2 linked regions of the Arabidopsis thaliana genome follow. The protein of the gene in region 2 interacts with the protein of the main gene of each other region in a pairwise test. Each region holds a gene or a part of one and is shown on either strand. Other genes may lie near its edges.

Evidence for each region.
Region 1: the proteins of MAC5B (region 2) and NFXL1 interact in binary tests that used the Arabidopsis thaliana proteins (3 or more experiments, as listed by UniProt).

Annotation. Positions count from the first base shown.
Region 1 is NC_003070.9:3,333,062-3,340,031, forward strand, and holds NFXL1 (NF-X-like 1), read right to left. Parts: upstream 5,024-6,970; 5' UTR 4,884-5,023; intron 4,498-4,883; 5' UTR 4,431-4,497; coding exon 876-4,430; coding exon of another isoform or gene 864-875; exon of another isoform or gene 803-863; coding exon 728-802; 3' UTR 534-727; downstream 1-533. Other genes in the region: AT1G10180 (LOW protein: exocyst complex component-like protein), read right to left, coding at 5,320-5,587, 5,678-5,814, 5,986-6,174, 6,261-6,767, 6,851-6,970. UniProt on the Arabidopsis thaliana protein: Mediates E2-dependent ubiquitination. Confers resistance to osmotic stress such as high salinity. Promotes H(2)O(2) production. Negative regulator of some defense-related genes via an salicylic acid (SA)-dependent signaling pathway.
Region 2 is NC_003071.7:12,649,779-12,654,892, reverse strand, and holds MAC5B (CCCH-type zinc fingerfamily protein with RNA-binding domain-containing protein), read right to left. Parts: upstream 3,068-5,114; 5' UTR 2,883-3,067; coding exon 2,778-2,882; intron 2,383-2,777; coding exon 2,113-2,382; intron 1,993-2,112; coding exon 1,769-1,992; intron 1,588-1,768; coding exon 735-1,587; 3' UTR 557-734; downstream 1-556. Other genes in the region: AT2G29590 (Thioesterase superfamily protein), read left to right, coding at 1-45, 148-291; PCNA2 (proliferating cell nuclear antigen 2), read left to right, coding at 3,295-3,613, 4,102-4,254, 4,338-4,435, 4,530-4,754.

The sequences.
Region 1 (6,970 bases), on a different chromosome or scaffold from region 2:
GCAATCTTCGCATTCACTCAAATTCTGTTAGACCAGCTCATTTGATCATCAAGGAAATTCAGCTTATCGTTAGGGCTAGGTTGGACCCTCTGTCTCGGTCTTCCCGCGTCGTCTCTCAGCCAGGCTCTTCTCTTCTTGCCTCGTGGTTTGGAGTGTTTCAGCGTTCACCTGTCTCTGGTTAATGTGGAGTTTATTTTGCAGGTCCTCTGTTGGCTCAGCGTTGTTCTCCTTTTGTTTTGCTGAGATCTTGTCGTCCTTGGGTTCTCTCTGGGCCTCGTCGCTGGGATTCAGGTTCTCGGTTTTTTCTTGTTCTGTTAGTTGTTGGGCCTGCGTGCCTTCTCTGGGCCTGCGTGCCTGTTGTATGGCCTTCTAAGCCTTGTAACCTTTTTCGTTTTATTGGAAATTTATGAAAAAAAAAAAAAAAAAAAAAAAAAAAAGAATATGACACATAAAAGAGTTTTTTTTTCACTATTCCTAATGATTTCAGCACCTAACCGTTAATTGCAGAGGAGAAAATGATTTCAAGATAAAGAGTACTAATGAATGAATAACCAACCTTAGTGTTGCATCATTATGTCAAGAATAAAAGAGAAAAAAAAAAGCGTTACAAACATGCCGTTTCACAATAACTGAAGTTACTGAACAATGGGATGTTTTTTTAGTTACTACATAAATAAACCAAACGCACGCCAAAGATGCCAAAACAAAAACGGCACGTCGTTGGCTATCACCTAAGCTTTGAAATGGACTCATCACAGCATACGCACACGCATACAGTCTCCATTATATACGTCTGAACAATCTGCCGTTTTCATACATCACAAAGAAGTTGAAAACCAATCACAGTCGTTGGGTATATGCTCTCACTCACATACCTTCTCCCAGTCATCCACCACTTCTTCACCGGAGCCTTCCACCGGTTGTTTACCGGTAGTTTTTGAACTACTGCTCTCTTCTATCTGAGCAATTGGCTCCAAAGTGGATGTGCTGGCCTTCTTGGGCTCTAAAACACTCCAACGGTTAACCGAGGTAACAATTGGAGAGTTGCTCTTTGCTGATCTCAGCGCAGAGGCTTGAGCATCTGTAGATGATCCTCCAATGGGGGAATCTTCAGCTCCCCAGGAGTCATCACTCTCCTGAATCACAGCTCTCCTCCATGGATTTCCTTTGTCAACATCCCACGCCGAGCTGCCAGGTAATTTTCCCCATACATTATTAAGTGATGGAGATTGCCCGCCGCTCTGGACAACCACAGCTCCATGATATACTGAACCGTGCTCAAGCCTCCTCATGGCAGTGGCAGCTCGGGCATGGTCGTGGAACACCGCTAAAGCATTCTTGTCATTCAGCCAAACAAGCTCACATTCACCCCCAAATCTCAGTACCAAGGCGCTGATATTCGCCTCTCTCGGAAGATCCAGAAAAGAAACCACAAGTCCAGGATCCATATCCACCAGCGAATCATAGAACGGTGGGTGTGGCCCTCCTATCGAGATAGCACCACCCCTAGCTCCAATGATCCTTGTTGGCGGTTTCGATTTTGCTGTTACGTGAACCACTGTAAACCGTTTTGGCTCCCACCCTGCGTTGCTAACACCAAGTTTCCACCTCTCAGCTATAAGTCGAACCGTGTCTCGTTTATCCTTCTGCATCGGGCAGAAGATATGGACCTTAAGGGCACTTGTGCTTCCTCTTGCTTTCCCAAGTACCAAGAACTTGCAGCGCTCTTCAACAGCCAGTACCCACTTTGGATCACGCCTATAAAGGTCTGAAATAATCTCTGTCATAGCAGAATTCTCGCTGAAATGTAATGCCTCCAGATTTGGGGGAGTTATATCAAATGCATCTTGAAGAACCCGCTTACGCTCCAGCTTCGCACACTCATCATCACACGAAAGCTTTCTCTGCCCGAGGGGGATACGGTTTCCGCTCGATTCAACAGGCTGAAGTGGAGCTGGAAGCTTCTGTAAAACAGAGGCTTCATCATAGGCCGCACAGTAAACATTAGAACCGTTGGCACTTCTTCCCCCAGCATCACAAGGGACCGTAGCGGTTATACGACCACATGAACAAGTAATTGTGACTGAAAATTCACATCTTAGGTCAGGGCAAGGCGCAGAAGGATGGCAGAGTGCTGCACAAGTGTGTCTGCAATCTGTTCTAGGAGCACCACATTTCTGTCTACACGTAACACGCATACCTGCTTCAGATTCATTGAAGCTGTCACAAGGCTCCGGGTGACAAGTTCTGGCACAAGCATGCATGCCACAACGCCTCGTCTTTCCACAAATCTTGGTACATCTAATGTCTTTCAACCCACAGGGTATGTTTCTGAGAACCACATGACCACCAACGCACTTCTTTTCCACAGGGGTAGAACAAGGAGGACAATCTCCAAAATGGCATCCATGCGTATCAGAATGGCCACAAGGCTGAGGAATCGGGCATGGAAGCTGACAGCTAGGAACAGGTGTCCCACATGATAGTGGAGGAGGAATCGAAGTTCTTCCACAAGCACATGTAAGATCAGTGAAGATCATCTCGAGACAAGGAGGGCAATGTCCACTGTGACATAAAGATTCACAGGAATGCTGCCCACACCTTAGCTTCTTCTGACAAGGTATTTGGCAGACATGTGGGTCCCAATCGCCAGATAAATCATTCTTCTTCCCGTTCAAGAGAGGGCAGCAACGCTCGCTACATCTATGTCTCCCACAGTTCTTCTTACGTCCACATGGCTTAGCGCACACAAACTTCTCTGCCTCTGAGGAAGTTGTTATGTAGCATTCCACAGCCCTGGATGTTGACCCACACCGGCATTTCTGGTTAACTTGGACTAAACAAGGCGGGCAATCACCTGCATGGCACATCTCATTGCAAGTATGTAACCTACAAGGAAGAAGCTTCCTACATACATTTGAACAAGAAGGAATTGGGTCCAAGCAACTCTGCCTGATCTGTTCTTCTAAACGCGTATTCCCACAATAGCATGTCTTAACTCTACTGGGCAGTAAGTCACAGTCCCCGCAAGGTCCAGGATGGCATACCTCGGAACAGAAATGATTACCACATCCAAGAGGCTTCCCACAGTTAAAACTGCATGAATAGACACCATCTTCTGCTTTCAATTCCCCCTTCACATTCATATCACCGCAAATGACAGTCTCCACTTTTTTCTTGCAGAAACATGTGGCATTTACCAGTACCTGACAAGGATCACAAGGGCCAACATGACATGTCCTTTCACATTGATGACGCCCGCAACTAAGAAGCTTATCGCAACGCTGCCCACAAACAAGATCAGATCTCCGCTCGGAGCATCTAGTAGTAACCATCTTTTTCCCACAAGGACAGCTACGAGGTGGAGCAAAGGCTTTACAGGGAGGACATGGACCAGGATGACACTGCAAAACACATACATGAGGACAAAGATCCTCTTCAGTCGTCTCAGCAGGTGCAAACTCTTTCTCCAGCGGTTTCCCACATGGTTCCCCGCATGAGTGTGGAGTGAGATATGGGTCAGACGGTGGATCTCTTCTCTTTCCACAAAAGCACCGATAGGAAATCTCTTTAGATGATGTCAACTGTACAGATTGGCAACCTGGACATCTCCAGTTATCACCTTGGTTTTTCTCAGCTAGCAAATCAACTGAAGTTGGTGCTCGAGCCCACCTCTTGATACAGTTGATATGGAAGATGGAATAACAGCTGGAGCATGACCAGATATTGGCAGACCTCCCAACCTTGTCATAACAAATCATACACTCAATAGAACTCTTGACAAGCTTCTCCTGTAACTCTTGAACAAGTTGAGGCAAGTTTGGGTCTGTCAACACAACATTCTCCTCCTTCGCTACCCTTTTCCCCTGATTCACAGGCCGCGTCCTAGATGCAACTCTTTGGCGATTATCTGGCAGAGTTCCAGAAGCATTATTCCTTCTTTGTCGATTAGGTGGAGGTGGACCAATGTTATCACTCCTTTGGTGCTGGTTCTCAGGAGCATTATTTCTTCTATGTCGATAAGGTTGAGGTGGACCACTGTTATCACTCCTTTGATGCTGGTTATCAGGCGCATTATATCTTCTATGTTGATTAGGTTGAGGTGGACCAATGTTATCACTCCTTTGATGCTGGTTATCAGGCGCATTATATCTTCTATGTTGATTAGGTGGAGGTGGACCAATGTTACTACTCCTTTGGTGGTGGTTATAGGACGGAGGACCAGAAGCGTTATGCTGCCTTTGCAGATAAACAGGACGGGATGCAGAACCAGCATCAAGGGTTTCAGAATTTCTATCTGTATTAGGAGGAAGCAAAGGCTCATTTACCACCACGCTCGAGGTAGATGAGTTTCTAGGAATCCACGTTTGCTGATGATTGAATCGATGAGACCTATCATCGCTCCTATCTCGCCTGACTTGAAAGCTCATATTCTGCCTTGACTCCACAAACACAGAACTAGATCCTGTACCCGTCACTGTTGGAGCAATGGTGCTTCTGTACAAAAAGAAAAGCAAATGAGAAACATTCAGATTCTAGCAATGTCAAACATTGATGGCCCAGATAAATTCACCACACACGAAAATACGAGCAAACCAATCTACGTAACAATAAAATCTTACACAGCTACAACGATGTTGAAATTAACTAAAGCCAAATCAAACGAATCGAAAATTGATAGCAAGACGCCTAAACTATTCCTCCTTCTTTGGGATCTAAAAAAGGGGGTAAAATCAAAGTGCCCTATTTTATCATATCTAAGAAATTTTGGTGACCAACACCAACCAACACACAAATTTTGGCTTCGATATTGCTGAATCAAAGAGAACGATAAAACAAATGATTAGAAGCTCACAACCAAAGAGGGGGAAAAAGTTTGGTACCTGACAAGAATATACGAAAGCGTATAAAGAAGGAAACAATCGCCGGAAGAATCAAATACGCAGGAGATTCCGATTAGTCTCCCTTGTTTTCTCAGGGAGAGAGAGAAAGAGACTGTAGGAGAAAATGGAGCGATGAGGAAGATTATATATAGCGACTGAAAGTGATAGACCGCCTTGCTCCCAAAGGAAATAAAAGATAGAGAGAGAGAGTCGCGTACGACTTTTCTTTTTCACCGGCTTGTCTGAATTATTTTATGCTTGACAAACCCTCAAGAACCGCCTCATCCCTAATGGGCTAACAATGGGCCTATACTAATTGACTTAAACCAATCTAAACCAGTAATTTAATTTGCAGATGATTTCGGTTAACTTTATATATATTAACTTGAGAGTTTTGAGAGACTTGACTACAGGATACAAACTACAAAGAAAGTGGTCAAGACTCAGAATCGGTGAAAGATGGACTCTCTAGGTCAGCCATGCTTGCAGAGGCAAATGACTCGAACGAGTCCACTGTGGAGAGTGAAGATGTATCTTCGGAATCTGAGTCGTCATCCATCTCAGGGAGGACGATGTGATGATCGTCTTCTTCTTCTTCTTCACACTCATATTCTTCCGGTTCTGAAGCATCCTCAGACCCCATGAGTAGCCTGTTGATAGCTGACTTGGCGGCTTCTGTGAACCACTCTGTCTTCGGGAGTGAGCTGGTGAAAGAGAATAATACACTTTTTAGGTAATTCGTTATGTTGAGACCGAGTTGGAAGAAAATTCAAAAAGAGTGTTGTTTCAATTACCTTTGTGGGTTGATGCCTCTTTCCGAGAATATGTTGATGGCTCGATTGATCACCACTGATGCATGGTTCTGAACTACTTTAAATGGATAACCTGCAAACCTGGCTATCTCCACTGTGAAGTTCATGTCGAGGATCAACTGCAACACGTGACAACAAAACTTCAACTTTCAACCCCAATCTTCTCAAGAAATGAACTTCAACATCAAGTTTCAATTGTTTCCCATTTCAAATTTTCAATCTTTGACTGCTGAGCCTGAGATCAGAGAATAGCTGAGGTATATAAGAGTGGTGAAAGAGAGTGTTTCTACCTGTTGCAATCCAGATGGCTGAAGTGGATTTGACTCGTCCTCGAATGCACTCCAAAACTCCTGCTCGTTTGATAGCCAGATTATAACCGTCTCTGTTAATCTCGCTAGTAGAATCTTTTGCAGCTTCTCTTTACCAAGCAGAACATCCCCAGCAATTATGGCCAACTGTTGTAGCTTAGAAAACAATGCCTGCATAAGAACAGACACAGATGATTCTGTGTGCTAAAACTTATAAACTGGGAACTATAAAACTAGATCAAAGAAGAGGGCGAGACCTGAAACGGTAAAGACGGCAGATGCAAGTCATCTGGTGTTTCGGTTAAATAAATGAGTGCGTCTAATCGCGTTAGTCCTTCCCTAGAGTAGATGAAGCTCAAGACAAACTGCAGACAGAAGTAGTTTCTGAGTTTGTCAAATGCTTGAACCATATGGCGTTTCCATTCTTTCAGTTCCGGTGCAGCACTACTGTTTAGAGCGGCACTATTCTCACCTTCTCCTCCGCCATTTTCAATCTGGAGTTTCCAGACTTTAACAAGTGATCTTGGTAAAAGTTCGTCAAGTATTGTAAACGCAGCTCCAAGAAGCGCAAGCTGCTCAGAATCTGTCTCAGCTCTAGCGAGTACGGTATTATCTTGGAGCTCAGGTAGACCATCCTCATCTGAATGGCCAGGCAAGGCTTTGATCAGAAAGTCGATGTATTTATCATATAGTTGCAATATCCTCGTTAGTACACTCTCACCAAAGTGTAACACAACTAGGTGTGTTAACTGCTCAAGTATGTCCTGAAAGAACAAATAAAGCTTCTATAAATTTATGCCAACAGAATCAAAGAAAATAGTAAGATCAGTGTTCAAAATCAACTTACTTGCACAATTTGCATGAATCGAATGCTACAATCAGTCATCATAGTATCTGAAGCGATAGCGAATTCAGATAATATTGTCACAAAGTCAGAGGGTGATTCCAAGCCCTCATCAGTTTCATT
Region 2 (5,114 bases):
TCAGTGGACATGTCTATTGCATTCCTTTCAAAAGCTAAGCTTGGTGTAAGTCTGCTCAAGTCTTTTTTCAATCTGTACTTTGGGACTGTTTGTTTGCTATAGAAATGGATTGAGAGATATGATATTGAAATGGAAATGAATTTTCAGGAGGAGTTGGAGATAACGTCGAGATTGTTAGGAGAGAGAGGAGGTTATAAAGGAACAATCGTTGTAGTCAGAAACAAGATGACCGGGGAGATTATAGCGGAAGGTCGACATTCTATGTTTGGTAGACAAGCTAGTAAGCTCTGAGTCCAACTTTTAAGTCTTGTATCACTGTAATGTCTGTTTTCAATAATAAGATTATGGTTAGGTAAATTTGGTTAGGTCCTTTGTTCTTTCTGGTTGTGAATCTAAAACCTTGGTACATAGCTTATAAAGATCAAACCATTCAGTAACTGTGATAGTTATGTTGATGAGGATGGTATGATATGTCTCATCTATACAACATTGAAAGCTGTTTAAAGAGGAATTTGAAGAAGCTTCAAGAGAATTTTGTTGTCTATGGTTTCAGCTTGGATTTAATGTGTATGTTGGATTATCAAAAATTCAAAATTATAATGTCAACAAGAGTCTACAACTACTGTAACAATTCTCTTCTCTTACATTGGAAACTAATTTTAAATAGCAGAAGCAAAAAGTCAAAATGTAGATATGGCCGGAAATTCGCACTACATTTTAACTGACAACGGTTCCTATTGAGACGAACCAGTAGTAACAGCAGCATCAGCAGATTGCTGAGAGGATCCTGAAGGTGCTGCAGACACAGAGTCAGGTGGTGGAGCAGAGACTGAACTTGGATGTGGAGGATTAGGCCTTGAACCGGGACCTGGTTGTTGTGGGTAATCATGATCAGCTTGTTGTGAATGGCCATGGTGGTAAGGAGGATACTGCTGGTAAGGTGGTTGCATATATCCTCCATATGATGGTGGCGGGTATGGCTGGTGCTGAGGATAGTGGCCATGTGGTGGCATAGTGTAAGAAGAAGAAGAAGCTCCTCTGTTGTCACTGGTGCTTGAACCGCTTTCTTTGGACGAACTAACTGCACCCATTCTCTGAGGGTCCATTGATGGGTAAAATGGTCTGTCTTGATGAGGAGGTTGTGGTGGTGGTGGGTGCATATAGTATTGTAGCATTGGTGGAGGTTGATTCTGTTGCTGAGATATAACTGCTCGAGGTAGTAAACCACTATGAGCCACACTGCCCTGTTGGTTAGAACCATCTTGATCAGGTTTGGGAACCTGAGGTCTTCCCCATGTGAGTTTTAGCCTCTGACCGTTGACAACTAGCCTGTTACTGAGCTCTTCTGCAGCTTTCTCTGCTCCTTCTCGGGTTGTGTAAGTGACAAACGCACATGCTTTCTCAGCCAAGATTCTGATGGATTCGATTTCTCCATGGGCGTAGAATTGATCACGAATGTCTTGCTCAAGGACTCTCGAGTTTAGCCCACCAACATAAAGCGTTCTGATGCTTTGATCCTCTGGAGATTCCAAAGTACCCATCTCCCCAGCCTTGCCAAGTAACTTCAACGCAACTGGATCGTTTACACTGCAGGAAGTGAAGAATAAGATGAGAAAACAGTTCCAATATCACCAAAATAACAGCCAGTTTACGCACACAAACTGATGTATTTTTCATAACTCTCTTTCATGATATACCAAAGCAAGAAATTGAGGAGTAACTCAATATTATCATACTCAAACAAAATGAAAGTTAGAAGTATGCTTACCCATAATAACGGTCTTTAATGTTCTGCTGGGATAACTCTCCTGTTTCAGGCATCTCATGACGGTATGGACACTCATCACCTCTTGTACACTCTCCCCTAATGAAGAAACTACAAATATGAGCTCGGTTCCTTTTGTAGTAAGGCGTTGTCCTTTGAAGCATACGAATGGTATCGTTGGGCCGAATCTTCCCAAAAGAAGACTCATAATCTAGTCCAGCTCTCGTCTACACAAGAAAACAAAACCATTTCAATAGGCCATTACAAAGTAGAGAAACTGTATAGCCAAATCTCAAACCAATCAATACTCAAATAATATAACTAGTTAGAACGCAGAGTCACCATACCTTTCGATCATGCTCTTCAGCGAAAAACTCTCGGTTCACATCACTTTTTGGGATAGAATCATGAGTACTAATGTTGAGCGCCGTGTCTCTGACCTGAACTGGAAGACCATACTCAAGATCCAAGAGACAAACTTGGCACACATTCTTCAACTTGCAACATGTCTGACAAACTTCAGTCTTCTTGTATCTCGCATCCCTACCAGGTCGCCATCTGAAAACCGTGAAAGGCCGGGTACAGATCTTACACTCTTTATCGTAATTCGCCTTTGTCTACATACCAAACAACAACAATAAATCAATCAATCAATCAAACATGAAGCTGCACATCACTACCAGACATAACATGAGACAGTATTCAATGAATTACATTCCCTCTAAGCAAATTTGATCAGAACAAACCAAAGATATCATTTTGAACTACAACTCCATGAATTCTGATTTTTACCAAAGGTTATGAATTGTATATTAAATCGCTTAAACCCTAAAATCTCAAATCACTAAAATTGCAGCTTCAACACTAAGAAACATAAAAGCATTAAACAAGCTCGAAAATGGACAAATGAAAGGAGATCTTAATAAAGACACATGAATGTTAAAAAAAAATCTAGCTAAAGGCAAGGAAATCGAATTTGTTTGAGGAGAAACATAGGAAGCGAAGAATATACCATTCTCACGTAAGGATTGTCACCGAGACAAGACTCACAGATGATTGGGAAATCAGAACGTTCCCATCCATCAGCCTCGTGATCTCTCAGTATTCTATGCGCCATTTCCTAATTCTCTTCCTTCCTCAATGATTTCTGGATTTCTTCTTCAGTCTCGAACACGAAGATTACCTTGAAGAGCAGATTTGCTCTCGTTTCGATTTTTTCGGGAATCTTTAATATTACAGCTGCTGTTGGGCCGAATGTTTGTTTGGCCCAATTTAAACCCATGAAATAAGAAAGCTTAAAGTGATGGTGGTGTACTGAAATAAACAATACGGACTCACACAGATGATAATTCATCGTCACACACAGGCGGGAACAAAAATACCCTAAAATCGCTAAATGGCGCCACAAAATCTCAGCTTATAATATCACTTCCCGCTAACAATTGCAATCTCCTCCCAGAAATTTCAACAGCTCTAAAAACCCTAACCGTTTCGATTCACACTCTAACCTTTCGATAATTTCCCAGAAGATGTTGGAGCTTCGTTTAGTTCAAGGTTCTCTACTGAAGAAGGTTCTAGAAGCGGTCAAAGATCTGGTGAACGATGCGAACTTCGACTGTTCGACCACAGGGTTCTCGCTTCAAGCTATGGATTCGAGCCATGTCGCGTTGGTGTCTCTTTTGCTTAGATCTGAAGGTTTCGAGCACTATAGATGCGATAGGAACCTCTCTATGGGAATGAATCTTGGTAATATGTCTAAGATGCTGAAATGTGCTGGAAATGATGATATCATCACCATCAAAGCTGATGATGGTAGCGACACTGTTACTTTCATGTTTGAGAGTCCCAGTAAGTTCTTCAAATCGATTTTTGTTTGTTAGGGCTTTGGTTTTGTTGTCAATGTTGATGCTATTGGTGACCTGATTCTGTGTTTATAGGTTTGATTTGCCAGAAGCTAGAATATGATTGTAGAGAATGATTCAGTCCATTTCTTGAAAGCTTTAGTTTGTAAGAGATGAAAGAGAAGATAAAATCTATGTTAATAGAGGGTTTTTGGTTTGGAATAAGGTTTGATATGGCTTTGTTTTTGTGTAGTTAATGATGTTATTAGTGATCTGAACTGTTATTTATAGGTTTCATTTGACAGAAACTAGAACTTGCTTGATGAGAATGAGTCCTTCCATTTTTGTTTTCAGAATAGGTATAGTCTCTAGCTTAAAGACTATAGTTTGAAAGTGAATAGAGTTTCTTGATTTAGTGAAAGTTAACAGAGGAACTTTGTTTGATATTGACTATGTGGTGTTAATCTCATTATTTAAATGGTGTTGATGATGCAGCACAAGACAAGATTGCAGATTTTGAGATGAAGCTGATGGATATCGACAGTGAGCATTTAGGAATTCCTGATGCTGAGTACCACTCGATTGTGAGAATGCCTTCTGGTGAATTTTCCAGGATATGCAAAGATCTCAGTAGCATTGGTGACACAGGTAAATGAACTGTTTGTTTATTTGGTGTATCACTGCGAGGATTCTCTAATCATGATTCTGGTTTTGATGTTATGATTTTGCAGTTGTGATCTCGGTAACAAAAGAAGGGGTGAAGTTTTCAACAGCAGGTGATATCGGGACAGCAAACATTGTGCTCAGGCAGAATACTACCGTCGACAAAGTATGAACAATCACTAGTCATCTAGAGAGATTTGTTTAATAATCTGTCCAATACAATGTTGAAGTGACCTTATGTTTGTATGTGTGTTTTGCAGCCTGAAGATGCTATTGTGATAGAGATGAACGAGCCTGTTTCGCTTTCATTTGCATTGAGGTACATGAACTCCTTCACAAAGGCTACTCCATTGTCGGAAACTGTGACCATCAGTTTGTCCTCTGAGTTACCGGTCGTGGTGGAGTACAAGGTGGCTGAGATGGGTTACATTCGATACTATCTGGCGCCTAAGATTGAAGAAGAAGAAGACACCAAACCAGAATAATGATGAATGTTTGATAGTCTTCGTTCGAGTCCTTTGTTGAAATGTCTGTCTTGATTCAGTTGTTTTCTGGATTTACTATCTTAAGGCAATGCTAAACTAGATAATCGTATGATGTTTGTCTTTCTGAAATTTGGAAAAGCTTGTTTATAACACTTTTCATCTGTTTGTTAAACATTGAAGAAAAAGAAGACACGAAGCCCTAAAACACGTTTGTTTGTGGCTTCTGCAACCTCACGAACTAGTGTTGATTGATGTTTTTGGATGCTTTTACAATTTGTAAAAAACATGTTTAACACTCTTTACTTCTGTTTGTTCTTAAATTTGGCAAAAACAACAAAAAATTTGAACTTTCAAGACACA